3 linked regions of the Drosophila melanogaster genome follow. The protein of the gene in region 3 interacts with the protein of the main gene of each other region in a biochemical or structural test. Each region holds a gene or a part of one and is shown on either strand. Other genes may lie near its edges.

Region 1 (10,814 bases), 1.9 Mb from region 3:
CACCGTAGTCATCCGCACTGGAGCTCGTATTCCTGGTGAGCAATTGTATGGCATCGAAGCGGTTGCGCAACAAATAGACGCCGTAATGTCGGTGCGGTTCAATGCGGTCTGAGGTTCCAGAAAATATCCTAGTCTCCAACGTGACCTCTTGCTCATGACCTTGATCTTCAACGTTACATTCACTTTGACAATCATTTTGTATTGAATCCCCTCCTGCGGATTCAATGTCCCATATGGAGGTCCTAGTGATCTTGGGTTCTGGATTCCACGATGGTTTTATGGAGTTCTTAATGGGGCTCTGGATGGAAGTTTCTTTTGTGGGATTCTCGAAGTTTTTAGATGTAATTTTCGGATCCTCAGGGTGGATGGTCTTTCCAGGAACTTCTTCTTCAAGAGTACTGCTTGGAGGGGACCGCCGCTTCGACTTGGATTCCATACTCATCTCATCAGTTTTTTCTCAACTTTATTGAATTTTATTCGAAACCGATTTATCCCCACATCGGTTGTATGCTCAAAATTTGAAGTGGATCCCAATGGTTGGGGCTCGGATTCAGATTGTGGCAAAAGCTACATTTAAAATATTAAGATATATTTTTTCTAATTTAATAGAATTTGTCTTTACGCACATCGATATTATCTGATCATAAATTTATTTAATTTGAGATAAGAATTATAGCTATTACATATTAAAAATGTTTTAGTAAGTAATCGCTTCTTCAAGTATTTCTCATTACTGAATATTCATAAATGGTAATCACTATAAATTCCTTGAGGCTGAGTTTTTTGTACGAATAATAATTAATTTTATTCTCCGCCCGCGGACTCTTCAGTAAAATGCTCCGCGCAAAAGGGGAGTGGGTGGTGGTTTGAGTTGAGTTGGGTGGCGATCGAAGGTCAGTCGCCGGGTCTAAAAAGTGCGCCCACAAATGCTGCACATAATTTAACAAAGTGAACTGCACCGCAGTAGTTGCAACAGCAACAAAAGCAACAGCAGCATCAGGAACAACAACGACATCATGGGCAATAATAATGGCCCAGAACAAGGCAACAACAAGAACAATAAGCGAAACAACAGCAGGCAGCAACATTTCGACTTCATTTTGTTGTGGTTTTCTTTTGGCGCTCGCTGGGTTCCCTCTATCCCGCTTTTTCTGGCAATGTACATAAAACTTTTCGGGCCACTACAATTTTTAATGCACTCTCTGACATTGTGAGGGGGGAGACGGGGGCGGCAAGGACGAAGGACGAACAGGGGGTGGTAGTGGTGAACGGAGGCCATTCTGGAGAACAAGCAAATGAAACTCAAGTGCATGTAGCTCTAGCCGGGCCAAGTGGTGCAATAAAAAAAACAAATACATTCGACTGTTAAAATACCCTTTTAATCAACTTGTATAGAAGCAGCAGAACAAAAGTGCCAATTAAAAAAAATTACTTTGACACATTAAACTTACGAATTTTCAGGAATCCTAAAAAGCAAAAAAATGGAAGCCAATATTGTTTGATATAATGAAGTTAATGGGCTAATTTGTATTTGTATACCATAATTTAGTTTAGTTATTTAACAATTTTCTTAGAAAAATAGAATGCCCACTGTCAGGGTATAAAAACAAACCAACGTCGAAAAACATCACAAGGCAAAAAAAATGAGCAAAAAAAAGCAGCAGGAATGAAATAAAACAGGCGCAAGAAAGGCCAAAAAGGAAAACAATAATAATACACCAGGGGCCGTGGGTGAAAGGCGGGGAAAACTCAGATTTTTAATAAACTTGCCGCGGCTCCTTTTTCGTTTTTCGCATTTCGCTGCATACTTTTGGGCGCAGCAGCGACAATAGTCGCATTATTGTTGCCACAGCGGCTGCTTATTTACGAGTATTTGCCTAGGAATGTGGCGAGCATCTTGCCAAGTGGCCAAAACCCATGCCCAACCTCCCTTTCATCTGTATAATGAGCCGCCAAGAGCGCCAGACGAAGACGGCCATGGCAGTTCATGAAAAATCAAGAGCCAAGAACTTTTTAGCCACCAAAACTTTGACTCAATGTAAATTTTGCCCGATCATGTTTGAAGTTTATCGCGCCAGCGGAAGGGGCAGTTCTTGGCCATGTTGGGACCACCCACACGACACGTCTGCTGCAACTCCATTAATCCCCGAGGAACCAAGATGACACGACACATTCCCGTATGGTTGATCCTTACCGAAACCCTTGTGCCTCAATGACACGATTCAAAAATGTGAAAGAATATTGAAAGAAGAAAAGGTTTAAACTTAAAACAAAAGTTCTATAAAGTTTCACATGCCTTCTACTTTGTCAGTTTTTGAGAATGTCATTTTAAATTTAAGAAAAAATATATGTATCTCATATAGTTCAACCTATTATTTACATATATTTTAAGGTAAATTCTTTGTACTAATTATGCCTCATTAGAACCCTGTTCTTTAAATGACATTTTTCATAACGTTTGGTGCACCCTTTTCGTTCAGTATCATATGACCATGAGCTAAGCTCCTGTCCCGGCTTCCTTAACTTGGCCAGAACGTGATGGGTGGAATGGGATGCAGTCGAATGTGTCCCGTTCTGGATTCTGTGAGGTGGGGGAATGCATTTTTAAAATACTCGCGCACATTTTCGCAAATGGCAACAAACGGCGCCAAGTTTAGCAGCTGCGCTGCCTTCGGGTGCTGTAAAATGCAAAATCCAAATGCCCTGCTCCCTTTAGCCATCGTGCCATCGCCTGCATGGCTTTTGGCATAACATTTTTAGCATATTTGTTGTAGTCTAAACACGTGACAAGTGTGCGAGTGTGTGAGAGTGCCATTAGTCCCTTGGTCATGCGCCGGGTACGGGAAACTCACGTGCCATCTACGGATATGCAGCTATTGCCCGGAAAAAAGGCCAAAATAAAAACTTTACCGCAAGAACTTTACCGGCGACAACAACGGCAAAATACGAGAATGGCCTTTGACCGGGGGGAAATCGCTGTGGTCATATATTTACCATTGCATCGGCATACTTTCTGGCCCACGTTTTAATCAATTTTTCAAGCATTTAAGTGCACTTTATTCGAGGGTTACCGCAGCAAAAATTTGTCACGGTCTCATATATTGGTTGAATCATACTTAAAGCACACTCTAAAATATCTGATAATGCCATTCACAAAAGTTACTAAATTTCTGCATGCATAAAAATCCTACTAAATTAAAATCAAACATTTAGGATATTTTTTTTCGAATCCTATAAAGTTTAATGCTTTGTTCAGCTTGTTTAATAGTCCTAACATTTTTTAAAGTTAATTCAATTAAAGAAGATCCCCGCGAAAAATTGCATACCTCCAGTGGACTAAGTAATCGGATTGTGCCAAATTCCACATAGTTTACGAGCTTGCATCGTGACCTGGCCCAAATCCCCGGAGAGGGCAGGCGACAATAATGCCTGAAATTAAATAAATATGCTCGATTATTTTCAGTTCATGGCGATGTAAGTTGGTGGCAAAAAGTGTGAAATATATTCAATAAATACTTGAATATTAAATCAGCTTAATGCGAACGAACGTCGAGGGCGTGTGACATCACCTAGCGAGCTCATTAAGCCCATAAGCTTTATTGATTTTTAACAAGCTACCAGTGGCTGTGACGAAAATGTACAAAAATTAATTATTGCCGGCCGAGCTGAGTGGAAAATTCATTTGAATTGATTTGAGTTGATTTTATTTTTAACACAATTTAATTTAACCATCAACTTGCAGCCCATTAAAGGTAAACTCATTTGCATTATAGGGGGGATATTTTATTTGACAGCTTAATGAATGAAAGAAAATAATTATCTTAAAAGTTTGGGCTGTCGTTATTGAATTAAAAGTTGTACATGACAACTATGGGACAAATGGATTGGAAGCACAAAGTTACTTATTTATTCACGGTTGATCCTATTCTTATATAATTATTCTCTAAGTGTAATCGATTTTAGTGTTCTTTTTCACTGCACGGACACATTTTGTAAATAAGAATAAGAATTTATATTCTGCTCGCCATTTTTTTCAGTGTCTGCAACAATGGCAGTGTGTTTCATCGGAATGACAGGAGTTGAACAAACCACAGCACAACATTAACATCAGCCTGGCTGACAGCTGCAGAGACTTCAGCTACAGGATCGGGAACAAAATGAGATAACCCCGGTTTGGCCTTGCCAAGAGCAGCAGCTGCAACTCTGTGAGTAACTGATAACTGCAGCCATTCGCCATTTGTTTCGCCAAATACCCCGCCACGCCCCCTTGCAGTTCCGCCCCATACCCGGCAGCCCGTTTCAAGCAAAACAAATGAAATCGATAAGAAACTAAGCGGCTTGCCGTCGAAATTCCATTTCTTTTCGAGCCAAGCTGATACTGCAGCTGCGGCTTAAGCTGCAGGATGCATTCCGCCGTGTCTGCCGGCCAAAATGCGGCCAACAGCGACAAGGAGTGGCATGTGGCTAATAGGATTTGGCCGCCACATCGCCACGAGTGGGTTGACATTGGGTAGAGAATGTTGTTTTCAATTGTCTACTTCAGTGCACAAGGCCGTCGCGGGTTAATTCTCCTGCTAAGCAACTTTGTATTGGATTTTATCTGAGGGATTTACTCAATTCTTTTTTGGTGAAAAAGGTTGTAGTTTATTTTGTTAGGTTCTAGCCCTAGGGCATACTTTACAGCCTTATTTATTGATAATATATTATCATTATTGTAATAAGTAAAAGCTGCAGGGGTATTTTTGGTACAATTTGGTTCACGCCATTAAACGCATATTAGAAAAATATTATAATATTAGTTTGTTTTAGTTGTAGCCGAAGCATTCCATATATGGATGGCTTTTATATAATATTTGTTATATTACTATACTTTCAAGTTCGCAAAATAAGAATCAAATTCTGTTACTCTCTTTTACATACTCTGTTGAGGTCAATGTTAGTACTAACATGCAATGTCCCGGCCTAACATCTGTTGATTTCAAAGTCTCCGCTCTGTTAGCCTTACATTACAGACCCTTAACAGACGCTACAAAGCCACAAGCTAACAGAACCAGCATCCCAACAGTTTTTAACACCATTAAAACCAGAGAAAATCCAAGAGCCATACCGCGCCCAATGACACGGCCTTTGGCCTTCTCTTTCAATGCCGTTCTCCAAATGAGAGAAATCTCTGTGAAACTCCCGACTTAAAACGAAGCTGTGTCGGCGGAGGTCTTGCGAAAGTACAACCGCGGCATCAAAGAGTTCCCCAGAATCCGTGCCGGAATCCCGAATCCGGAGTCCGCTGGCCGTAGTCAGTTTTACGGCAACTTTGGTGCGGAGCGGTACGAAGGGAAAGCGCTGCCGAGCGATACGGTACGGTCCATCTGTTGTTTTTAAATCGACGTCAACAGACAAAAGAGGAACACACAGGGCAATGGAGCAAATTTAAAAATTTAAATTCAAGTTGAAAATCTAATATATCAAAATTATCGCACACGTGCTGTGAAATTATGGATTTATGCAAATTTTGTAATAGATCGCAAAATGGCGGTGCAGCAGCATTGGCAGACTGAAAGTGCATAAATATTTCAAAAGTCATGTGTAGATTTTAGACATCCGTACCGAAAGAGAGGGGTATGTATGCGGGAAAGAGAGGACTGCAGACGTGTGTGTTGGTGTGCATGTGTGTCATTTAAGCCAGTCAATGAAATGTTTGTTAATTATGTATGTGTATACATTACATTGCCATTAAGTAATTAACTCAGCTTCAAGCAGAGCTGTTTAAGTCACTATCGTTTTCCCACTCTCTCTCTCTCGCGCTGGGTGTGCACGTGTGAGTTACATTTGGGGTCATGCGGATATGAGTGTATGTGTGAGTGCTTGACATTGTCTACTTCGATGGGAAACATGTTGCGTATACGCCATGTTAATGCAAAACAAATTGAGAGCAAATTGATATGCCAAACAACTGCAACTACCACTTGAAATCGAAAAGGAAATGGAAACGTCAAGTGCGACCTGATATTGCCATTAATTTGATATTTATATTATAATTGGAAGACAGACGATTTTCGAGATTTTGAGCGCCTTGGGGAAAAGTCCTGGTGATTCATCAGCAAGTCAGTCTCACAAAGCATTTGTCTAATTGCATAAGCGTAGTCTACTTTTGCAACAATCAATTCGAACCATTTTAATTGTTGTCTGCTCTCTAGTATGTGAATCGTATTTTTGTGCATTTGCGTAGTCCTCGATTTGATTTCGTTATCTGTCATGTGCATGCTTGAGTGGCATTCTTGGCTTGGGGAATTGCAAATCATATTTTTGTCAAAATATTTTTATTGTCTGGCATCTACTACTCGTCCAGATCTTGTCAATCAGCAATATAAATTGCATAAAAATAATTCAATTAACAAGTGTTCAAACTAGCAGAAGAACAATGACTTTTCGCTTTTCGATTTGACAATGATATGGTTTGCTTACTCATCTAAAATGATAGATAACGATTTACAGCTTTAGTGAAACAAACATAAAGCTAGTACAAAAATTTATGAATTTATAACATAAAGAAGGTGTCGTTTTTCTTGCAAGATTCAAAAATGAATGCAGTGAAAACAAAACATTTGTCATTTATTGACTTTTGAAATAATTTTTTTGTCTAATTTAGGTGTGCGTTGATTTAAATATTTGAAATATTTACTGATACACATTGCAGTCAGTCCTTCTTTTTCCGACCTGTTTCTGTCCGTTCCAATAATAATTGTAATCTGTTTATTTACTTTACTTGACCACCTGTGTATTAAGCGAAAAATTTTAGTTGTCAACGGCCATCTCATAGTTCAGAGGCTCACCGTCTGTTTTTGAAAAATAAAGTGCCGTTCCGCAGCAAAAACTTTGCCACGGTAATTTTAATAAACGCGTCAATGAAACCAAAACAATGAGGACAGCATCAGCAACAATAACAACAGTTTTAGCGAGGGGAAGCCCACAAAAAAGAAGCCACAATTTGATTAGAGCATTAAAGGACTTTGTGCCACAAAGCCTGAAGCGTCCTGCCGAGGTCAGGATGTCTGTTCCCCAGACTTTCAGATTTTGCCTGGACCTCGGCCAGCTATGAGAATTTTTGGCTTCTGAAGCAGACAAAGTTGTCTGCTATATTTTCAATTTTTTTTTTTTTTTTGTTTTGCCTATGCTGCTGCTGGAGCTTGGTGTATTTTTGAAACTGTCAACGTTTAAATAACGCTGACAATGACAATAAACAAATGCAGTGGCCAAACAGAATGAAAGCGAAAAAAAAGCCGAGAAAAGTTTAATAAAAAACGGAGCCGAGCCGAAACTTTACAAAAGTCAGACATGTGCGGGCGAGGGAGTGGTCTATAGATGCACAGAGAAAAATGGTCATATTAGATCATTTGGGTTTTAACATATATTTGTGATATTTCAGAATCAATATATATGCAGTACCATTAAATGTTATAAATGGATTTTATATTATATTTTAACTGGTTTTTCAGTACGGCTACTGAACCTCTTTTCTTTGCGTGCACAGTTATTAGACAAAGAATATATTTTGCGCTTGGACGCCAAAAAAGTTTTAAAATCGAATAACCTTAAAACAAAATGGTAAAGTGAAAGATTTTTTTAAGCTATCCAGGACTCTTCACTTATTTTTCTAGCTCATTGGCCTGCTGACCTGTCAATGGCATTTATCGATATCGAAACTATATCTATGTAGATAAAGGACGATGTAATCATGAGAGGCGGCGCGTAGACCAGAAAAAGTTTTGCCCCCGAAAGTTTGGACTAATAGAAAATATGGCCGGCCATTGAGTTTGGCCAAAAAGGAGCAAAGTTTCTCGCCTTCCCATCAACATCGTCCCGCCTCGATATTGTTCCATGTGGCCAGAGAGGTGGATCGAAATCAGCTGGGGACTTTAAAGGCGGCTGCCCACAATGGACCTGGGCCGCTGGCTGCTGCAGCTGGGCGTGCACATGCTGCTGGGTAAGTTAACGTTAAAGTACTGGCCACAGGATATCTCCTATGGAGAACCCGGTCCTGGGCCATAATAATGAAAATATTTGAAACTTTTCATTTTATTGCCTTTTGCTTTTAATCCTTTGGCAAGCCGCCGCAAACCTTTTTTACGACAAAGTCCACGTTGTCGGCAACTTTGTGGCTCCCGCTTACATATACAGACACACACACTATGACTATAGTCGTTTAGGCATTTCCGTTTCCGCTCGGCGCTTTTGTGCATTTGGCTTCTGTGTGACCCGAACACGAAATTAGCATAGCAATAAATGTGTTTGTTTGGGTGTCGCCGCCTTTTGACCCGGTCGCTGCTGATTTTCTCTGCTGACCCGACCTCGACCGCATCAATTTATGTTAATTTTATGCCGCCGAAATTGTTTTTTAAATACACTTTTAATTATGGCCAATGAAAGACAAAATGAACCGAAACGTACAGAACTTGGAACGCAAATAAAAATAATAATTTCAATTAGCTTTAATGTGTCTGCCACAGATAAGCTTTCTTTTTCCACTTTTGTTGCTCTGGCAACACGGCGGATAAGCAATATTCTACGAGGGAAATACAAAAAAAACAAGTCAACGCTGGTAGCAAGAAAAAGGACCTGCTAAAAATAGAACATTTTATTTATAAACATTTATTACGGAATATTTTCCGAGTTTTATATGCAAGAGCAAATATTTGATACTCATAATTTTACCACATTACAGTTCCGGAATATGAAAAGTTTGCACTTTTGTGCAAAGCATAAAGTCATAAACGTGCAGTTAATAATGAGAAAATATTAAAAAAGTTGCAGCAATCTCGCCGTGATGCATTCGACACGATTAAACGATTCTAACCGAATTTAAACGAAAATATATTGATTGCCAAAACATTTTGGTGAAGTGTATTTTCAGCGCTTTTGTTTCGTCGCCGTTTAAATTAAATTTAAATTGACCCCTTTTACTATTCTGTAAATTTATTGAACATTATTTGGTTATGCAAATTTGCAATATGCAAAACGTATTTATTACCAAAAAAAAGAGTGTCGAACAAAATGTCAAATGATGTGCACAGTTGGTTGGGTTTCCCCTTTAACGAGCTCATGCATTGTTTGAGGAACCTCAAATGGCAAGGACAAGGACATAGACGCAGACATTGACAAATGCCAGGACACTCGGCTGCGATGGCAGAACATTTGCATAAACCAAACATAAATGCGACAATTTCAACCCGGAATACGCCTTAAAGGATTTACCCCACTGTGTAAAAATCGTCTCTCTGCCGGTCGCTATATTTTATTTGCACTTTTCTAAAATTTATAGACGCTCTTAAAATTCACTGCAAACAGTGGCTGCCTGCTACGAAAATAAATATTTGGCTACAGCAACGAGGAGTCGTTGCCGGCCCCAAGTGCCATAAAGTTTATGTTGTAATTTATAATTTATATTTCCTTTCTTAATAAATAAATAAATAGTCAAGTTTATGTTTGAGTTTTATGATTTATATTTTAAGTTATTTCAACTGCAACACCAGCACCACGACCTACTCACAGCAAAAACGTACAAGAAGGAAAGAAGGAATAAAAAGAGTGGTATTCTCTTACAATATGTTTTATGGCATAAAAGGTGTGGCCATTCATATCAAATATAAAGTAGTGTTGTTTAACGTTATTTTTGTAGGTTGAATAGTATATTCCAACACGCCCCCTCAAAAATAACGTCTATAATTAAAAACATAACAATAATATTCATTAGTAACTATCAAATGTGGGTGGTGTGCATTCTGGGAAGTGTTAACTGATCCAGCATTTGCTGCGAGGATACGGGGAAAACCCAGAAAAACCCGATCAGATCATTGTAACAAAATATGTTTACAGGAATTTAAATTTGAAAAATATATATAAAAAATTTCATTCAGCATTCGATTGGTCGTCTTGCAGCAAACCCAATTTGTCTCGTAACTCCACAAATCTCGCAGCAGGCAACGGTTTTGTAAATATGTCAGCCAGTTGATTCTCTGTAGGAATATACTCAAGACAAATCACATTATTCTGAACTTGCTCTCTGGCAAAATGATATTTAATATCAATATGTTTAGCTCGTTTATGACATGAGGGATTGTTTGCTATGCTAATACAGCCTTGATTGTCTTCGTAAATTTTAATGGGGTTTTCTAGTTTAATGTTAATACTAGTTAATAAAAATTTAAGCCATAGAGCTTCTCTCACGGCTTCAAATAGGGCCATATACTCAGCTTCAGTTGATGAGGCTGCTACTGAGTTCTGTCTCTTTGTATTCCAACAAATGAGATTAAAATCAAACATTTTGAATAAATACCCTGTTGTACTTTTTCTATCAATTTCACTACCAGCCCAATCAGAATCCACATAACCAATAATTTTATTTTCAAATGCCAAGTTCTTTTTAAAAATCAATTTCATATCGATAGTGCCCTTCAAATATCTAAGAACTCTTTTTAAGTTCTGCCATAATTCGGAGTTATTTTTGCTACTATATCTGCTCAAGATATTTACTGCAGTAGTTAAATCTGGGCGTGTACAAAGCATTATGTACATTAAACATCCTATGAGGCTACGGCATGGGGTATTGCAGTCTTCATCTGAATTAAGTAATTCATAATTTATTTTACTAGGTAAAGGAGTACTAACTGCATTACAATTTTCCATGTTAAATTTACTTAAAATTTTTTTAACATATGCAGATTGGCTTAAATAGATTTTATCTTCCTGCATCTCTATCCTAATTCCAATAAAATGTTTTATTTCATTTAGGTCAGTCATCCTAAACTTTTCCATTAAAT
Region 2 (10,829 bases), 1.9 Mb from region 3:
TACTGCGATAGCGACGCACTGAGCGTCTTCTCGCGCCTCAGCTCCGGATAATTTTCAATTTCCGCAACGCATTTGAGCTCCAGGATTTTCCCGGCCTGGAAAAAGCGCTGCCCCTGCAAAAAGAATTGCACCTGAAGCCGCTGTCGCCTCAGTACATAATCATGGGCCGCCAAACTTGTGTCCGTTGTGGGATACAGTTCGCCTAAGAGCGGCTGCAAAGAGTGCAAAATTTAATTGAATTAGTTAAATACAAACTTTATAACGATAAACATTATCATAGCCTTTTGGTTATAACTATATTATTATGGCTCTTATTTAGTGAATGGAACAAACCTGCTCGCCATTGATGTACCAGGTGAGTCGAGTGGGCAGGCTGGAAAAATCCGATATGCAGGTGGCTTTAAGGTATTCCTCCATGCGATACATCGAGTTGAAGCTCTCGATTAGCGGGTCGTTCTGAGGCAGTGCTAAAATATTAAAATAAAAAATTATTTACTGAAATAGATGACCAAACTATTATGGAAAGCTCACCTGCAACAGTCATGTTGTCGGCCTTGTCCGCCAGCTTAAAATGGGGCGCATCGCCGCTAACTTCGCACTTATAGAGTCCTGTGGACTTGGCACCTTGTAAACTCAAATCCAGTCGACAGCTCGATTCGTTGCACACGTATTTCCCCTCCAGCACTTGCAGACCAGCCACATCGAAAGTCATGTAAATCGGACTCGTCAAGGGGGAATATCTAATCAGGATATTGAGTCATTGAGTATTTATTTTTTAGTAGAACTAGCAGTGGTTACCTGAAAAACTCCTCGTGATCTTTGTACCATTTGACCGAGTTTAGCGTGTGACCTCGCATATCGTAGCTGCAAGATAAGGTCACATTGTCCCGAAAATCTACGATCTCGGGCACACTGATATCCGTCACAAACAGAGCATATGCGATTGGGTAGTCTAGAACACATAAAGAAAAGTGTTACAAATGTGTATAGATCCAATATTCTATTGAAATTTTGCATTCCTTTTTAAAGCTTTTGATCATTTTGAGATGTTGTTTTCCCCAAAGAACTCGATGATCAACATATACCATATTTGTTGTACGAACCGTAGGGCGTGGCACATATGTATGCTTTAAGTATGGAATGACTTCGTATCCCCGAAATGCTGGATAGCAAAGCCCACAGGCCAATGGCAAAATTTTGTTGACCAAAATCCAGGGACATGTTCAGCGGTAGGTGTAGTATGCGTAATTTTTAATTTGCCCAGGTGACTGACCTGGGAAAATGGGAAAAGGTGGGGGAACACGGCTGGTGCTTTGTGTCCAAGTTCTGTCACATGAGACATCGAATAAATTTCAAATTTCTTGAAATGAATATGCAAAACAGTTAGTTGGGCAGACGACTACCTACGTAAGAGCAAGAAAAAAAGCAATGGATGTGGAGCCATATGTATCTGCCATATGGTAGTAGGTAGATTCTGACATGGCTGACCACCAACCCAATAAACAAGCAGTGGGTGGCTGGTCCAGCAACTGATAAGAAATGCGGACAAACCAAATGTCAAATGACTCGACTTTTGCCCCCACAAAAATAAATTTAACATGAGCCGATATGAGCGTATAAGAAGGAGTGCAAAGTAAAAGTAATTTTGCAACAGGACATGACAGATATTCAGCAGTTGGAAATCACTTATTTGGACGATGCTTAACTTCTGTAGGGATCTTATATTTGTAATTAAAAATCTGTTTTATAAGCTGAAATAGGTGTACAAATATTAGGCGATTCTGAAAAAGCGTTGGGATATGAAATTCCGGCTTAAAATACTTTTTAAGCGAGTGTATGAAAAAATGTACATAATTTATTATATATTCGGCTAACACCATTACATTTGTTTAAAGTAGTTCGATTTTACTAATGCTTTATTTACAATTTAAAAAACACCTTGTGCACTAACCACTAAAGCTTTTAGGCATTCTGCGCATATGCAAATTAACATAAACACAAACAATGTCGCACAATTACACAAATAAATATTTTATTCATATTTATTTGAGATACGTGTGATTAAATGTGGCAAATTGTTAGAATTCATTATGCTTTTAAATCAACGGAAAATAGTTAAAACTTTTAGCCATCCGAGGGAAAAACAACTAAATTTCCACTGCATAGGTTAAGCTGTGTCTCCAATAAAACGCAAAGAAAGGAGAGGGTTAAGCTGGGACTGAGATACCAACGTAGATATATTTACACCTCAGCACAGGAAAACTTTGCTGATAATTAACCTGCACATTTCATTCGAGAAAAGGCACACACATTTACCTACTCATACGTTTAACCCAAAGCCAACCCACTGAAATCCGCACACATATTCTCCCAAGTGAACACATGCATTTTTGGGACATGACCATCGCCGTACAAGTTTGGTGATAAATTCATTTGGAGATGCCGAGTTGAGACATTTATGCAAACATTTTTGCGGTGGCATGTTTTCTTGAAAATAATTCTATGTGGTTTAGTGGCGAAGATTTTCTTTCTAAAAATACATACTCAACTGTTTCACATAATGGAGTATAGCAAAAGTAGAGAAAAAAAGTCACACAACTTTTCTTTCTACCAAATACCTACTTATCAGCTAATCAAATTAATTTTTAAGTTTCTTTGTAGTTTGTTCATTAACTGTGAACAAAACAGGATAAAATCTCTAGAATCATAATCTTGAACTTAACTGTGTACAAATTTCTTTAGAGTTTGATAGTCTTTTGTGGTAAGCACAAATATATAGATATATAAATATATCTTCATTTTATTTGCTTGCGCAATATAAGCCACAAAGTGGAGAAAAAGAATCTATAAGAGTCTGGCAAACAGGCAAAGTGTTTTTCCTATTTTTAGTTGCGTATAAATCCGCAAATTAATTGGGTGCCATATGACTGAAGAGTCCAACAGATTTCAAAAGTAAATAAATAGGTCCCAAGCCTTTGCTATTTGTTGTAGTTTCTTTGCGGTTACCCAAGGCGACATCGTAAATTGGACGTCACACAATGGACAATATTTAATTCCATTAGGCAGGCCAAATTGTTGTTGCCGGCAAACACTCTTAATATAGAAGCGTCCACAGAAATTGAAAAGCTACAACTCCACAGCAGAACTTTTTCTGCAAATCCTTTCTCCGGCTCTCTTTGTGGTCAAAGCCTTTGTGTGCGTGTCCTGGATAGCATGAATTTCCTGCATGAAAGTTTTCCGAGGTGAGTGTGGAAAATGTACCAGTGCCCGTGCAAAAAAAATCGCAGGGAATAGCACTTAATCTATCCACAGATTCTATCAGTAGGTCAGAAGGTACTATACGGTAATAAAATATATATAACATATTGTTGGTTAGATAAAAAATATAAAAAAATAATATTTAACAACGGAGTAAGTTAAACATTTTTATTTTAAATATACATGGGTTATACATTTCTGACAATTGTGCATAACTACATGGCACACTCTATAAACATTCTTTAGAATCATAAAGTTGTAGAATCTTCTTTTTTACACTAGCCAATTCTAAACATTTATTAGTTCATATCAAGCTTGCCAGAACTCTAACCAATTGCAAGTTAGTAGGTTGAAAAGAAAAAGTGAAAACCTGCTTTGGCAGTTGAACTCTTCCAGCACTCTCGCACACATGATGGAATACAATTTCTAGTTCTCGACGAGAAGAGTGAAAAGCGGAGTGAGCCAGCTCATTTAATGCGCTCCAAATTAATTGCCCCATTGCCATTGGCAATTCGAGTGCAGGGGGGAATAACAAGTCGTGGAAAAGCGGGTAAATGCGGAGGGCGGCTGCCTTTGGCAGTTTGCCTAATTGCGAGCATTTCAAAAATACAATTTAAGTTTAAACTGCACTCAAGATGTGCTGCTACTGCTGCTGCTACTGCTGCATCAGCAAAAGTTCAGGCAGCAGAAATTACCGAATGCCAAAAGGGTCGGCAATGGGAAGGGGGGGCAAGTGCAGCAACCACTGAAACTGCGGCAGCCGTTGAAATTATGGCAAAAGTCATTAAAACAGCCGGAGGCAAAAACTTTGCCAATATTGATTTGAGGTCGGTGTTCTCGGTAAACACCAATAACAATTAAAATAATAACAAACCGATTCACAATAAACGACAAGGGCGATTTGTCCGGATCACATTACGCATACGCACCGTTGCCTGCAAATCCCCGCGAGCGCTTCATTAACCAAACAAACACTGCACTGAATGCACTGCAACCAAATGTCAATCCCCGAAAACCATAAAAAAATAATATTAATTTCCTCCGTTTCGAGCGGCGGAGGACCACAAAAACTTACCAATTAAAAGTGCGATGAACAGAAACATCAGCCAGCCGTAATCCATTTTTTGTCGTCGTCCTTATTGTTGCTCTTGTTTGAATAAAATTAATTGCTTCCAGTTATTGTTGCTCTCGGCTTTTGCAGTGGCGTTGATTTATGCAGTTTATCCCCGTCCTATCTCCAAGTATCCCTTTGTATCGAGTGTTTGGAGTCGGAAAGAACGCCCAAAAAAACTAGAATCGAACAAGCAAGTGGAGGTCAAACGAGTAGCTCAATTAATTGAACACTGTGTCAAAAGGAGACGTACAAAAGAAGGACTCAAAACCCACAGCGAGATGGAGTAACGGCACAAGAGAATATAAATAAATAAACTCAGCGACAAACTCATGCAGAAAAGTTCAAAGGATACGCTCTGTCAGTGTCGTTATAAATAAATAACAAACGTTAGAGCATTTCGGAAAAAAGTAACAAAGTCCAAGGAGCTGGAGACAGGATATACACGGAGAAAATAAAAATTGGCATGTAAGTAGTGCTTGACAAGTACACGTTTTATGTTTATTATTCAAATATTTATTTTGGATTGTATAAAAAATAATCAGGAAGTAAATATAATATAAGTAAATATGAACCTTCTACTAGTCCAATTAGAATAAGACAGAAAATGGTGTGCTATCAAAATTTGATATTTTATTATCTTAGCAAGTTAAGTTGTTAACTTGTCTTCGACGTATCTCATGAGCACTTTACTTCTCTGTGTACGAACTGGCTTAAAAGGGAAAGCAGGAAAAAACAGAGAAAACAAGGACGTGTGGGCGTGGCAGACGCCCTGGCATCCTGTCTTGTTGTACTTCTCGTGTAGGAGTGTGTGTGCGTTTGTCAACTTAAATAATTTAAATGCCAAATTCAAACGAATCCATGTGTTTAATATTTGAATAAGCCATCCACCTGCCACGACCACGCCCCCTTTTCGTTTGAGACCCCGTGCTCCAGTACCTTTTTTCCTTAGGTTTCTTGGTTTACGTTCACTTTATTTTTGGCTCGGTTGTTCTTGTCAATTTAGGTTTTGTCGGAGTTAACATTAAACTGAAATTGAAGCACTCAACGGAAGCGGAAGTTGCCAGTCCAGTGCAATTTAAACTTGTTTCGTTTTTGTTTAGCAAGGTTCAAGAGTACTTTCGGAACTTCTGCCTTTTTCTTTTCACTTGGCAGCTTGGCTTCGCTTAGATTTTTTGGGTTAATATTTACTTCACGCTTGGGTTAATTGACCTTTCGGCAGGACTGATGAAGTGTGTATATATTCCGTCTTACAGATATTAAGTTATATGACACAATAACGAATTACGATTTTCTTTATTTGAATTAATAATCTCCATGTGTTTGTGTGGTTTTTGTTTTTATATTGTGCCCGATTCGGTCGGCGATTGAGGACTTCTGTGGAAAGTATCTCCGCGCGGCTTCAGGCTTACGAACTGACTGAAGCTGCGACTCGGATTCGTGAGTTCAACTTCACGGATGCCACTGCTGTCGGCTGCGCAGTCGGCGTTGCCGTCTCTGAAGGACTTCGTGACCGGCTGTCGTGTAATATGGTGCGCTCAGCATCTGAAAGGACCTCGGGAGCATCACGATGCTCGGTTACACGACAGCTGAGCCTGTAACGGGACCCATGGGGCCGCGAGAGTCGATCCCAAAGAGCGTATCTAAGAGAGGCGATGAGATTTGTAGCTTTGTCGCCCAGTCTGTTGGCATTCTGCATAATGGATGTTATTCTTAACAGCATAAATGTTATTTTTAACAGGCCTAAACATAACATTTATTAGATTTGTCATATGGAGGATATACTCTGTTATTTAATGTAAAATGATTGCCTTAAGTTTTTCAATATTTAATGATATCTAAATATAAATAAAAACTTAGAAACTTGAATAAACAACATTGCATTCATCTTGAAATTCCACAATTTTATGATCGCTGGAATTTTAAAACCCCTTTAACAGTTAGTTTTAGCCGGTTAATTTAGCCAGTAACAGGCCCGTATGAATGGCCCGTTAATACTGCGGCCATCTCAAAAAGTTTGCTTTAAAACCAAAAACACCTTGTGCTCTGTTGTTGCTCTTGCCAGTGCGTGTTTTATAGTTAACGGATATCCTTGGTAGTTAAATGCAGACAACAAACTGAGCAGACCGAAGGAAAAGTCCGTGTTGCAGCTGCATGTAAAAATATTACGTGCATAGTGGGCTGCTCCTCCAGCGAGGGAGGTGGTACGTGGGTGTGATGGCGGTTGTTCGCTTGCTGGTGTGGGCGGGATTCTAGAGCGAATGACGACGACGGCAGCACAAAGTCATCTTATCATTTCATGAATAATGCAGGGATTTGTTAGGGACACATGACTGGAATTTTACGCAAAAGTTGTGATGATGTTGCTGCTGCTGCTGCTTCTACTGCTACTGCTGCTGCTGCTTCTTTTCCCTTTGCCAACCGCCAACACTTTGAGGTTGTTGCTATTGTTGCTGCTGTATGTTACTATAAAACTGCAGTCTGCTGGGTGCGGCAATCAACAGAAAATTGCAGATTTTAAATTCAAAGCATTTTGCTCGCTGTCCCTTTTAAGCTCGCTTCCTAGCTTGTTGGCCCACCTTCCCTTTTTCGTCCTGTAACTTAATTCCAACGAATAATTTCTGATGCCCGAATATGAATATTAAAACAAAAGCAACGTGCGCCTGAGCATATGCGACACTTTCTTTTGCTGTAAATGGCGTTTCCGGATCCGGTTTACTCGCACGGTACCTGCCTTCATCTGCCAGCTATTTATTTTATGCGAATTTCGCTCATCTCCGCTCGCAAGTAACGTGACAACTCAAACTTTATGCCAAGCAGCAGAAAGTTAAAAAGAATAGAAAAAAGGTATGCACAAAAACTTGCCAAAAAATGCAGAAGCTGCGCCAGCTCCCCACACACACACACACGCATCTGGATGGAGATCCGTCTGCACGAGGGTGGGATAAAAAAGTTTTCCTGAAAATAAATCAGAAATTTTAAAAATTCATAACTTTAAGTTTGCTTTATGACTTTTGTTTATAACGTGTTACCACACTACGTATGCGTTTCACTCGCCTCGAAAACTTGTCCGCCCCAAAGGGCCTCAATAATTAATAAGATATGCTCAAATATGCGGGGAGCAAGCTAGAATTATTCTGAAAAACTCGCAAAAAACTGCAGACTTTTATCTACCGCTTGCATATTCGTATGCAAAGGTTGTTTGGTTGAAAATATCAACCCCAGAGCTCTGAAATAAATTTTTTCCGTGATTCTTTTCAGTCTGACATTGCAGTGTGAAATAATAAGTTGCTAAATCTACGACACATATTCTAGATAACCTGTTTATTAAAAATATAATACTAATTAAATGTTTTACAGATGTTCGAAACATTTTATTGTTAATGTTTGCATGTCTAAGTCTTTGCTTTTTACAGGCGTAGGCTTCGAAAGACTGTCTTTTCGTAAAAGGTTGTTCTCCAGCGGATCGACCTATAAATTGAGGACTACTTACCTTCCCCTAGGACTCCATCACATTGACACACTTTTTCTCCCCAACTTCTGCAAGATGCCTGCAATCAAGGAGCCGTCATTTTTGGCCGCAATTGGTTCATCCTAAGAACGCTTTTCGCTGCCTTCCGTACAGTGTAGTGAGAGAAATTACCCCATCAAAGCCTGATATTTTAAATATGTATAAACTATGTTAAGAAATTGCATAAAATATATCTTTTTTATGTTTTTTTTTTCATTCTAAAAGTTTTACTTGCCGTCTGTTTGCTTTAAAAATTGCATGATTACTAAGCCAAACATTCTATGTTACAGTGTTGTTATGAATTTTTATACAGTTACCTTAATGAAAAACTAAATTGTCAATCAGCCATGAATTGAATCAAATGAAGTGTAAAATTACAATTTCATCCAATTTGCAATTAACTCGACGAGAAGATGGCAAAAAGAGGAGAATTCCTTTTTTCCAATTTCAAATTATTCCAATGGAACGCACATGCAGCTGGACGGCGAAGGGTTTTGTATTCGTATCTGTGCGATTCGCTGGCTGTTTACAACATATATATGTATATATGTATCTATGTGGGAACTTTCACTAGGAAACAACATTTTGTGGGTGGGGGAAAACCGCCGTCAACGGTTAGGGAAAGGGTGCGCTTTTCTTCTGGCTGCAAGGCACCTGGAAAAGTGCAAGTTTAATTGCATCGAGTGTAACTAGTTAATGGCTGAAATTGCAAATTGAAATGGTGACAAAGTAATTGAGGTCAGGAAACTCCCCTCGGAGTCGTCGAATCGAGCGCTAATTACAAAACGGCCATTGCAGCTGCCAATGGGGTCACTTGGCAGGTTTTCCGTGCGTCGCGTCGCATAGCATTGCATAGCAGAGCATCGTGTTTCGTTTCATTTTCCGGCCATATCGGAAAATATGCAACAGCAATTGCCACGGCAACAACGGCAGCTGCCAAAGTTGTGCGGAATGTCAAAGTTTCCCCATTTCCGTCCCGCCTGCACTCTAAAAACATTTACAAATTGATTTTTTGTTGCCGCTGTCATGTTCGCAAAATATATATTTTTTGGCTTTTTAAATGGCTAGGCACAAAGCCGCAACGGGACTTACGCACATTCGAATACCGAAAGCGAACTGACGTATTTAATGGAACTTTTTGGCACAATAATAAAATGTCCGTAATAAAACGGTCATTTGCATGTTCATTTCAGCAGGGCCGCCATAAATGCAAACAACTGGATTTCGCTAAACCAAATTCGAAAGTGCTGATGCCGGACGATGGCTAAAATTAGCGTTTGCCATTTGCTTGTTAGCCATGTCCCCCGACAAAATGCTTTTTGACACGACCCATGGATATTAGTGGCTGCCAATGAAAATTTATTGAGTGGAGAACCGCAACTGAAAAACTCTTAATTCGTCAGTTTATAAACAAGGTGATTGAACCTGAAGCCTAGCACTTAATTGCACGAAAACACAATGAAACTTGTACTCTACCTTCTCAAAAAAAATCCATTTAACGTAAAAGTATCAAATTATTTTGATAGTATCAAATCATTTCAGTATCAATAAGACCTTAAGTGGCAAAAAATTTAAATATTTTACAGCTACTTGGTATAAACGCAATTTATTGTTTGATTTACACAACAAACAGTAAGTATACGCTCGACACTGAAATTTCCATTAATTTCTGTTTTTATTGCTTTATATTATGCAGATCTAATCGAAACTACATTCTTTTAATGGACCTCTCTTCACTTTACATTAAATACTTTATATATTTAAAGGCTGTGAAGTAGAGTTTTTTTTTTATTAATTGCAAATAATAAATCGTTATTACCATGCGATCCACAAACATTTGTGAAACAATCAATCATTGGCAAATTAAGTTAAATATTCCCAAGAGCTCTTTTGAAGTATCAATAGCCTCCAATTAAACGAGCGTTGCATCACTGTCCCATCGCCCCTTTAGAAAAACTTAACAAGGGCGAATTTATTTAAAAAAAGTTCATAGGTGAAAATGCCAACTCCCAGCAGTAAAAAGTATTTACAGCATGTCAAGAAGGTTGGAAATTTAAGACACAATAAAAATCATAAATACCCTTTCCAATATTAATATATAATATATAATATAATATATATATATTAACTTTAATGTAGTTCTATTTTTCAATTTAAGTTAATAATTTTTTACACGTAAAAATTGCACATCAAAATGTACAATTTGATTCCCAGAAAGGGCATTTCAATCAGGTGTTGATCAGCGAACATTTCAATCAATCAAGCGAGAGCGGTGTGAAAATCATACAAGCGGCGTGAAAAGGAAACGGAAATTGCTGCGAATTGTGTGCTGTCCACAGGTAAACACATCCGTGTCCACATATTACATATATACTGCGAGTACCTATTCGATTCGCTGCTTGTGCTTGGGCAGCTGTAAATGCCACTTGATTTCAATATTTCAATCAGCGATGCGCACAGTTTGTTAAGCTTTTTGCATACATTATGCAATTTGAGCGGCCACAAATGATGCAGGTGCAGTAGCAACAATAACATCATTAGATCCAACCGCCGAAACTCATCTCAGTTGGTCTGCAATCCCGCCAATGGCGACATTAAATCATCGATACAACAAGTACCTGTTAAGGGCTTTTGCCGCATTTCGAGCCACGGCTTCCTTTCGATTTGCAGTTGGCCAAGAGCCCGGAATTTTCATGTGTAGCCAGTCGATATGGAGAGAAAATTCGATCACTTACCATGAGCATACATTTTATGTACGAAACTATTAAATGGTAAACGTAACATAAATTACCCCTCTGTAGACAGCACTTTTTGAAATAAGGTAATATGTCAAATACAAATTTACCTTACAATTTCAAGACCTTTAAGTCTTTTGCAGTGTAACAGTCGGCTTGGACTTTTATTTGTTGCTTGTCCTCGTTGCTTGTGCATATTGTGAATGCGCGCATT
Region 3 (11,218 bases):
AGTGCAGGTAGCAAAAGAATAATGTGCCGTAGATACCTCCTACGCCCAAGACGTTCCCATTTCCATTTTCAACTTTAACTTGAACTCCAACTGAATGCTGGTTATGGCAAACTGAATACGGGATGCTCGCAATTTATGCCCACCGTATTTGTTTATACAAATTTAATGAATACACACTGTGTGGCAGCCAGGCAGCCATACCATTGCATTGTTGAATCTATGTAAGTACATATATGTGCCCAAATATACATATATCCGGAACCCCAGGCGTTCCTAGGGTCGTCTATACTTTATGCTCCTTTTCGAGCCGTGCGTTTTGCATACGGCGGAATATTCGGAGTGCTGGGTAATACACAGCCTGCAAGGCATCCTGTAAAATGTTAGAGTGATGTGAAGGTGCAAGCTGCCGGGCAATAGTTGCATTAAACAATTCACGTGCCCCAACAATGTCTGGAGATGGCTGCCCCACGATGAAATGGGTGAAAGTTTCTCTTATCCAACTGAATTGCTCCTCCTGCTTAATAGTTTTCCCATATGTGCATATTAAAGCTGATGCCCTCATTTTTCTAAACACCTTACAAAACTATTTGAGCTAGTAAAAAACTCAAAAGACGAAGAGTATTTACTCGTATTATATTATAACTTTATTCCTTAAGTTCGTAACATTCGAAATAAATAGTCCTTTGTTGTTCACAACTTAGCCGAAAATGTATTTCACAGCAAAAGTGTTCTCAAGAAGACGAGCAAGAACTATTCGTTCGTCCTGTCTAACTATTTTTAATTTTCCAAACACGTTTTCTTGGTGGAAAAATCCTTTAAAAAATAAAACAAGAAACCGAGAAAACAAATAGAAAGTCGTGGCTAGCAAGAGAAAAAAATTGTTGCAACTAGTGTAGTTTGTTTATGTTAAATGCGCGGTATTCATGTGTGTGTGCTTGTGCGTTTGTGAGTGTGTGTTGAGGGAAAATGGCAACAGTGTTTGCAATGGTGTGGGTGTGCCAAAACTTTAGCTTAGCTTAACGCGTGTCCTTGTGCGCTCGTCACAGCTTGTAGTTGTAGTTGTTACTTTAAACATAGACCGCAGGCAAGAGAATTGAAGAGGGTGAAAAGCGGGAAGGGATCTAGAAAAAACCCACAGGGGCGGAAAGTGCAGTGAAGGGGCAAAGGAGGGGCCATGTGACTGACAGCACACTGCGAAGAGAAAACTTTGCGTTTTGCCTAAGTGACGACGTGCGACAAGCGGCGGCAGTTGGCCAAAAAAGAACTGGCCAACACTGCAAAAAATGTACTTAACTGGTATATACTTATATGCTATACTTCCTTATAATTGAATTTTATATAATAATTTTAAAAACCAAAGCCAAAGCTAGATCTAAAGAGATTTAAAATAGAATTAAAGCATACAGAAAAGATTAATAACTTTTATTATTATCAGCTAGTTGAGGAATGGCAATTTTGTCGCTATAATCGAAAATTTTTTAATGACGTTTTGTCCTCAGCTAGTTGTCATATTTTTCTTAGTGGAAAACATTGTTGTCCCACACACTTGCTACTTGCAACTGTGTTTGTCCTCCTCCCGCCAGGACTTTTAATATTTAAGGAAGCCTGGTTCTGGCCAGGAGGCTCCCATCGTCCATCGTCAATCGTCCGTCTGCCGCTGCTGCGTTTGCTTGCCTCACTGGCTGCCAACAGCTAGAAAGCAGTGGCAAAAGCAGCAACAGCACCAACATCGACTCACACACACAGCAACATGTGTTAAAAGTTTTTGTTGCAAGGACTTGGTTACACCTCTGCGGCTGGCTGTGAATCTAGATTGCTGCAACAAGGAGTTGCCGGCGCCGGTGCTGCTGTTTCCTTTTAGTTCGGCTTCCCCCAGCTTTTTTGCAAGTTTCGGTAAACTTGCCACTTGGCCAAAAAGCAGAAGACTTGTCCCCGCCATGCTCCCAATGGAATGTATCTCAATGTGTGGTAAAATAAATTTACAGCTTGACCGAAAGGAAGCAAGATAGAAGGACAGACAAAGGAGTAGAAAAACGTTCTCAGAAGCACAACGAATGCGAAACACTCTTAATACTTGTTACTGTCTCATTATGTCCTTAAAGAAGTATATATTATTATGCATCTCTTTGCTCAATAGATAATTATCATAAATTAATTATGTAATTATTTTCTGTTAAGTACAAAGGCAATTACTATCAAGCCAAGTAGATGGAAATCAACATTCTAATGCCCCGCCCACACATTGCACTTATACATTCGAATATCTTACCTGATGAATAATTAACGGATAACTTTTTAGCCTGCCAAAGGACAAAGCAATCCTTTGAGTACCCATTGGTCAGTTTGATGGGCGCCACATTCCAGCCCAGTCCGTTCGGTTTCTGTGGTTACTATTTGAAGTTTTGATTAATTAATGAGTGAAACCCATCTGAGGTTCGCCCGCCAGAGGTTGAAAAAGGTCTCAATGACTTGGCTCTGGCAGGCTGTAATTTCGTATTGCTTGCTATTCATTAGCAGGCCATCAGTAACCGTATCCAATTTGAGCCTGACGCTCCAAATTCGATTCGTCCTCAGTTTAATTGAGTGTTTGATTTAATTATAGACCATTTAAATGCCGTTGTGCTGCCGCTGTTGGTGCTGCATCATTAAGCATTGATTACGAAAGCTGATTAATTAGTTGCCCTGCCCGCACACATAGGCATGTTGATGCCATGGCACACTCTCTCACACACACACACACACACACGCCTAGTCCTATTTATGACAATTCATCAAAAGTGCGTTATAATTATGTAATTGTTGCTCACAGCGCGTCGTATTCGCATGCAAATTGCGTGTGTTGTCGGGCTAATTGTGATTGCAGGGCTCTGGTTTGCTAGTTTTTTTTTTTAAGCGGTTAGGAGAAGTCAAATTTGAGACCAGCGCCAAAAGCTTTCCGATGCACCATCACCAACTCAACTTTTAATGACAAAACGTTGAACACCGCTTGGCCCTAACTTTGCCCAGCTCATTTCAGCTCAGTTCACTTTGGAAAAATTTCGAAATTTCGATAAAAATTCGACCTAAATATTTGATAAGCAGTTAGTTCTCTAAATCGCCGTAGCTTCACTTTAGAATATTCATCTTTCTTTCACCAAATTATCTTGAACACCCTTTAAAGTGCACACATTTAATTAGCCGAATTTATTTTCGACAGTGTGTGCTCATCATCAGGGAGCGGTGGCCACAGAAACCGCCGTCTCATGATTTAAATTTAATGCAACTTTTGCTTTATAGCCAAACTGTCGCGCACACAGACACACATCACACAGAACCCCCACCCACCCACACACACACATTAATGTAAAAGCTATAAAGTCATGTGCAACACCATTGCCACTTCCGGGCGGTGGCAACAGCAGCAAAACAGGAGCAGCTGCAGACCCAGGAGCAGGAGCAGGAGCGGAGCAGGATCAGCCGCCGGTTCGGGACTCTCTGGCAGCTATTTGGTCACTGCACTTAGTGCACTTCCTTTGCTCGCATTGCTGGGGTTTTTCGCCAGCCAGGGAAAAGGGGTTAAGGGTTTTTTAAACTTGCTACTCATTTCGGATTGGGGTAGTTGGAAATAATACTGCATTATTACTTATACTTAAAAGAAATCAACAAATTAAAATTAATAAATGATAAAATGATTATAAGATATAAGGAAACTGAAACAATACATCTATTGCAAAATCTAAAATACAACAACTAATGGGTATCAAATCGGCCATTCCTGATTAGTTTTAGACTGATTCTGGTGCAGCTGCTCTCGTTGCTGCCGCCTGATGAAATGCCATGCTTGGCGGTTGAGCGTTGAGATTTTGTAGGAACAGAAGACCGACAATCTACACCACACACGAAACTGCATGTGTGTGTGAGTGTCGTCCTGGGCTTTTGATTATGTGTGTGTGAGTGATGGAATTTTGCAGTTTTAGTTAATGTTTAGCCAGCGCTATTTTGGCCCAAAGAATGTCGCGTGGAGGAGCCAAATACTTTGACAACATCACCAGTTACATTTTCTATATGTGCACACTATATATATATATGGGGAAAGTAAGGAAAAAGAGTCCGCGAGTGTGTGTGTGTGTGTGTGTGTGCTGACGAAAGTGGTTTAGTGCTATCTTCATTTCGGCATTGGATTTGCCATTAGAGTTTGGCCAAGCGTGTAAATGAAATTTGATAAGATTAGGCTGTGCAATTGTTGCAGTGCTACCCATGTGTCCCATTCTTCATCCTTTGAGTGGATCGCCTTGCAAAGCGAGAGCTTTCCTTGAGTGGTATAAGAGTGAAACCGTTGGAAATTTTGAAAAAATCCCATTCATGCCAAGCAAAAGTTTTCGCGTTCCACAATTCATTCGGTTTTTTTTTTGCTGGTTTCGGGCGCATGTCTGGCGAAACCACGCTTTCGAAATCGAAAAGAGAGCCAGAGAAAGCCGAGAGAAAGTTCAGAGAAAGCGTGAGAGATGCGAGCTTCGGGTCTCGTGGTCCCATGTCAACTTACATGCTTACACCCCATTGTAGTAGAGTTTTTTTTGTAAGCGGTGTGATGCGTGATTTTGATGGTGGTGTAGGTTAAGTTGTAGCGGTGCCATTTTTTAGCCTACACCTTGAGGAAATCAATCAGGAAATTCTGATTAATTAATCACTCAGCTGGGCTTACATTTTGGGTTTAATAAGTAGGACATTAGAGTTTCTTAAAACGATGCCAGAACCCGGAAATGGTTCTATTGGTCTTTTATTCACCTATACGGACTTTATATATTTAATTGGGTTTATAGTCTTACTGCATGAACTTTAGCCAAACATTAGTGAAGTATTCATTGTAATCTGTGATCCTTGACTGGCTGCCTTGACCAGCGAAACTGCAGTAAGTGCGAGATGCTCTTGGTAACCGCTTTCTGAAACTCTCATTCATCTAGGTAGATGCGATTTTGAAGAGAGGCAGACATCGTGAGTTCGATGGAAACGCAAAAGAGAGGGAAAGCAAAAGGTTCCACAGGAATGCGTGGTGGAATATGTTTTTAGAAGGTTCGCAAGGGCAAAAGGGTGTTGAGGTAGGACTGGACACCCACGGCAGGGGGGAAGGGAAGTGGAAAGTCGCAAATAAATCATGATCGGGATTTCATATTGATATACTTCCATCATCATGGCAGCATATTCAAAAATATTGGTTCAAAAAACAATAAAAACATTTGGGATCCTTTCAAGTAAGGTATAAGATGATTTTTAATACAAGATATAGTCAACAAGGTGAATACTTTTCATAACTTTTAGTATTATTATCAATAGATAAAAATAAGAAGTGATTTATTTTTTCATTCACAAACATCTTTTTTATCTTTTGCCCCTGGTAGTTTATATTTCGTTTTTAAAACTTGACAATTCAAGTTCATGAAGCGTTTGAGGTAAGCTTACCTACCACTTGGCTTCCACAGATTGACAACCAAGACGACTTTTGGATTTTACAACCAAAACTCTTATACTCTGGCCCTTGCCAGCCGTTCTGGCTTTCGAAATCGAATCGGCGGCAAGTGTTGGCCCACTTACAAGGCTCACACACACACACACACAGGGAAACCCAAAGGATTCGACTGTTCGGCAAAGTCGAAAATGCGCGACCCGAGCGAAAGCCGAAGGATCCGAATCGTGGAGGGCGATGGCAAAAGTGGCCAAAGCCACGAATGAATGGCCAGGCGCTTTAGTACTGAAAAGGTCGTGGATTTGTGTAGTTGTCGTGCTCCGTTGCCGCCGTTTGTCGTTCTCGTTTTCGTTGTCGTGTTGTCGTTGTCGTTGTCGCTGTCGTACGGGCGGCATCGCATCGCATCGCATCGCCTCACATCGCGTAGCCGCAGTGTTGACCGTCCGCATCCGCAAACTGGCGAACGAAGCAATTGGGCTGGAAATCAAGAAACAAGTGCCACCCAACCTAGTCAAAAGTATATATCTCAATCGGTTATCGCAATTGTTGAATGCTGAATATACAACAACCAAATAAAAATAGAAAAACGTCAAGCGAGACGAGAGTGCACGTGCTAGAAGTAGAAGTAGAAACATCTCAAACGCCTGCGTTAAGTTTCTGAATGTGTTGTTATGCAAATCGCGTCCTTTTTGGCTTGAGGCAACAATACAGTGAGTGTATGTGAGTGAGTGCGATTGGGAGCGTGTATGTGTGTGCCGCAGTTACAGTGTACGACTATATATATGTGCGCTTGTGTACGCGCCCACAATGCATAAATCAAAATACACATTATTGAGCCATAAATAAAGTTCGCATCGGCTGCTACTTTAAATATTGGCCTCGCGGCTGGCGGCGATTCGAAGACGAGAAAGTTAGCAGCAGAAGCAAAGCAAAAGCAAGGCCGACGAAATCGAAATTTATGCCTCGCACCCGCCAAATACTTTGCCATATTTTTTGCTCAATTGCCTGCCGCTGCTCCTCCAACTCCTTCAGCTCCTTTTCATATGATGTGTGTGCGTCTCGCTGGCTGCATAAAAACTCGCTTAATGCCAACACGCCCTCTACAGGAGCAATAAGCAATAAGCACAGCAGCAGCAACAACTCCATTTCCTCCTAACCCCTGAGGGCTGATTTTATTACAAAGGCCGTAAAAAACGCCAAAAAGCGGAGTAAACGCCACAGCAAAAGGATACAATACGGCCGAAACAGGGGTAAGTGCATGTGGGAAGTAAATATCTACCAAAATAAACGTACATATACTTTTGTACCGACAAACCTAATCTTCAGACGAAAGTGAGCGCTCAAAAGTATGCTAAGAATAATAATGCAGGCCATTGTGCTAAGAAGGTTGAAGCATTAAAAATAGAAACATTTATTCTATTCAGCTTGGAGGTATGTGGAAATGTAATGGTATTAAAGTGAAAACAATTCCACACAAAAGGCCTGAATACAAGAAATAAATTCAGTGCTTAATTCAGTGCAGTCTTCTTGTAATAATAATTCGGAATTGAATGAAAATAAAGAGTTTTATTGGAAACAAATCTAAGACGGTGTAGGAAAATTGGAGGATTTAAATATCTTTTAGGAATTTCATTCCTAATTCCCTAATATTAAAGAATCATTTTGTTGTCAACGAATGGCAGCAAAATATTGTATCAAAAAATGGTAAAACAATTATGGAAAACCAAACGCTTGTTACGTTACTTATTAGTTAAAGGAATTTTAAATCTTTTCAAAGCTGTTGAACACAACTTGTGCTTTCTTAAATTCTTCAGCTGCGAATAAATTTTTTATAATCATTTGTCAGACTTTGCTGGTATAAAGCTTTATAAGTTTAGTCATCAGTATTGCTGAAATTCCCTGCTGATCTCTTTGAAGGCACAACGCCAAAGTGGGTCACACAGATGAGTGGAACTTACAATTTGTCTGCGATTGTGTCAGGGATAATATTTCCCATTGCCTTTGATCATTTTGTTGATGCCGGGGTGTCAGTTAGTCAGTCTGAGAAGTGCGTTAGTCTATCCCGAGGAGACATAAGCCATGGAAATCATATTAAAATGCTGTCTGTGCATAACCTACTTTTTATTTCTATATACATACATATATGGCAAGCAGAGTAGTATACAACTCAGTGAGTCTCGCACCCGGTTGCATTGTGGACTGGCTGGCTGGTAACATTCGTATTCGCATTCGCACATATATTGTTGCCATTTCACTTTTGCTGAGCACGTCTTCGCATGTGGATGTGGATGTGAATGTGAATGTGAATGTGGATATGGGTAAGGGTATATGTGTGGCTATGGGTATGGGTGTTGGCAAGGCTGCAGGCTCTTGCCAAATGCGCTTTGTTGCCGCCATTGTCAACATGGCCAGAAACGAGGAGCGGCAGCAGGAAATTTTTGCATTTTTCGGCTCAGTCAACGCAACGTGGCTTGGCAACAGGCCAGGGATGCATCAGGGGTGGGGAGCTATCTCAGATCTGATTTTCTGCAGAGCTTAAATTATTAAAAGCCTGGTCCAAAAGTTAAGGCTTCTTCTCGCATAAATCAAGCTGGCCAGGGGACAACCTGGCGTATGCGCAACTTTAATAACATGAGCAGCAGCTGCAAAAGTTTCGCCTGTCAGGGGGAGCAAGTTTAATGCAGCATGTAAATATTGTCATGACACACGAAAACTTTCACTGGCCCTTTGTTGACAGGCTCTTGAGGACAACGGCTGAAAGGATGCGAGTTGGTGTGTGTAGACAGACGAGATTTATGAGCACAAATGGAAGACGAAGCGTGTGACTCGCATAAAGCTCGGAGTGAAAAGTTTCACAATTAATTTTAATAGTTAATAGCGGAACTATCCAAGATGAATTTTGGGACATCCGATATAAGCAGCAGGTTGCTGGGAACAGCGGAAAATAAATATATATATATATACATAAGCAGAATAAACATTTTCCTAATATTGAATTATTTTTACGTTACACTTTAACCCTAACAAAATTACATATGAAAAAACCAGATTTAAATGTATTAACTAATATATGGGCCATTCAAATGAAAACATGATAATATATTGTAGTTTTGTTTTACCTTTCGAAGAAAAGGGCCATAAAAAAGTGAATTTAATAGGAATCGATTACATAGTTTGTCAGATTTAAAAAATACAAATTAAAGACTGAATCACAGTACATTTTTAAAGGTTTTATTTGTATGAAAGAATTGGGTTTTGGAGAAACCAAAAAAGAAAACCAATGGGTACATTACAGGAGCCCACAAATCGCGATATCAAATGACCTGAGGTGTACTAATTAAAACCATTTTTAAATTAAACAACGCTGAGGAATATCACGTTCGTACTTTAATCAAATGAAATGATTTAATTTGTTTTTTTATGTTGATCAAAGAAGTACATGCTTTATAGCACGTATTTCTCTTTGCCAAATCGTCCCTTCTCTTTCAAATGGAAGCGCTTTAAATCACACTGGCGAATATCACATTTCAAAGTAAAGAAGAATTGAAATCAAAGCTTTTGCTGTACAAAGCCAAATAATCCATCAAGTGGCATTAACTTGAAACAATAAATTTCACACACAGCTGCAGAGGTAAGCCCAAACCAACATAGGTCTCGAACAACTAGAGCTCTGGCACTTGAAGTGCTTGACAACTAATCAGGTTTCAAATGCCTAAGCACACACACTCGTACACTGCTCGAAAAAAGTGTAAGAGTATCGGGCAAGGGGAAATAAATCCGTTCAGAGTGTCGGTAATCAAAGCTGCTTACAGCCTGCGCTTTTATTGTATTTTATGGGGAATTGAGCATCGGTTTTGCGCAAATATCTTTGCGGATTTTATTTTGTGCCCAATACAGTAGATGGGAATGACCGATTGAATTTCGTTGGAAAACCTATCTAAATTTGGCTTTGAATAATTGGTTGAATAGCTTAACTTGAGGAACGAACTTATACGTCTTCTTGTATTAATGTATAAATAAATGATTGGAAAACTATTAAATATAAGATACGGAAGATTAACAAAAGAAGAGCTCATTATTGTTAATTCTTATTTCTAAATCGTAGTCATGCCTGGACTGGAAATGGGAACAAATTGTTTAAAAATATGAAGCCATGCATTCAGTCCGGCCAATAAGCAGACAACGATTGCCTGAAGTTTTACAAAATAACTGAGAATAATAATGTACTTTCAATGTTGACCAGTACACAACATTAAAGGAGGACCGAAGGCGGGCAAAGCCGTACCATAAAAAGCAAAATCCGAAGGATGAAATTTTTTTAGATGGGGCATTACTTGCTGCAGAAAATGAACCCATTCAAATGGTCGACCCAAATCTGCACGGGGCAAGAAAATGAAGGAGTGCAACAGCATAAAAAGTAAAAGAGCAACATGAGCTCAAAACTACGGCCAGAACTCAACTGGCATATTGCTATAGCCCCGGAATATAGTAAACTTTGCACTAGTTGCAAGGAAAGAGTATAGGGATTACAACAAGAACTATACTCAATAGTTTCATAGGGTTTCGAAAGCATTCCCGATTACCATTTTTGTTTTATATAGCTACATTATATCTTGTTTTTAAAACCATTTATTTATGTTTCATTTTTCTTATGTTGCGCCACGTTTCTATCAAAAGGTAATACCATCATATCGTAAAACTATAAAAGCCCTGACAGTTAGTTATGCAAAGTGTATTAAAAGCATCGTCTTGCTGGGCAACTTTCAACTCTCTCCCACACTTTTTCCCTCCTTGGGGCTTTTAGTTTTCCACCAGTTTCCCTCTGCGTTTACCGTTGGCATTGTGTGCGCATAATAGTCTGAAATTAAATCAGCGAGCGCGTGGGTAACTTAAAATAATAGCCATTGCTTATGTTTAAGTAAAATATGTACTTTGTGTACGAAATAAGTGACCGGGATGGAGAGAGCAGACCGGGATGAAGTTCCTGCAGCTGCTGCGTCCTTTTTTCTCTCTCTCTCCTGATTTCGGACTGCTTGCTTATTTCCGTTTCCGCTTGGCCTGCTGCTTGCTGCATTTTTTATTACCAGCTCACCGTTCTGGCACATTATTTAGACCGCTCCCGACCACCTACTCTCTCTCCATTACATTTCGTTTTATTATAGAATTTCCATTGCATACTTTGGGAGAGGCGCCCAAGAGCTTAGCTTGATTTTTAGCTGCAGTTTCGCTGGGGTTATCACTGGCTAAGAACAAACAAAAATTTGGCTACACTATAATTTAAGGCTGACAGGGTAACATTCTCCGATTCCCCGTCTCTATTGACACTGGCTAGTGTCTGTAATTCTCTGTTTGCCCAACTATTGTCAGTGGGAAATTTCGGTGCGACTGCGGCAGATATATTTCAATAATAATAATTAATATAACGAAACAGAGACTACGACTGCTTGGAACTATTGATTTATGGCCTTTGGTAAATTGTGGCACTTAGTGTAATTGTTTATGTATATGCCAAAGGTTCTACAAATGGGGTCTGGGGTAGCCACTTGATTAGCCTTCACACACCGACATGAGTACACCTACCCTGGGTTGTACTCCTGACATACCTGAAAACATCTGGAAAGCACACGCACACACACTATTGACATACATTTTCCAAAAATTTCATTACGATTTTAATTGAATTATTCATTTCCATTCAAGCTAGGCAATTTGTTTGCCATTCCAGCTTTTCGTATAGAGCTCAACTTTATTTTAACTGATTGTTTAGCTGTGACCATG

The links.
Region 1: the proteins of side-VI (region 3) and beat-Vb form a complex in vitro, tested with the Drosophila melanogaster proteins (one study listed by BioGRID).
Region 2: the proteins of side-VI (region 3) and beat-Va form a complex in vitro, tested with the Drosophila melanogaster proteins (one study listed by BioGRID).

Annotation. Positions count from the first base shown.
Region 1 is NT_033777.3:12,910,789-12,921,602, forward strand, and holds the start of beat-Vb (beaten path Vb), read left to right. Parts: upstream 1-5,267; 5' UTR 5,268-5,355; exon of another isoform or gene 5,356-5,616; intron 5,617-7,655; 5' UTR 7,656-7,932; coding exon 7,933-7,981; intron 7,982-10,814. Other genes in the region: CG10909 (uncharacterized protein), read right to left, coding at 1-442.
Region 2 is NT_033777.3:12,842,646-12,853,474, forward strand, and holds the start of beat-Va (beaten path Va), read right to left. Parts: upstream 5,775-10,829; 5' UTR 5,309-5,774; intron 4,549-5,308; 5' UTR 4,380-4,548; coding exon 4,334-4,379; intron 953-4,333; coding exon 799-952; intron 741-798; coding exon 532-740; intron 468-531; coding exon 334-467; intron 213-333; coding exon 1-212.
Region 3 is NT_033777.3:10,966,660-10,977,877, forward strand, and holds the start of side-VI (sidestep VI), read left to right. Parts: upstream 1-5,721; 5' UTR 5,722-6,690; intron 6,691-11,218.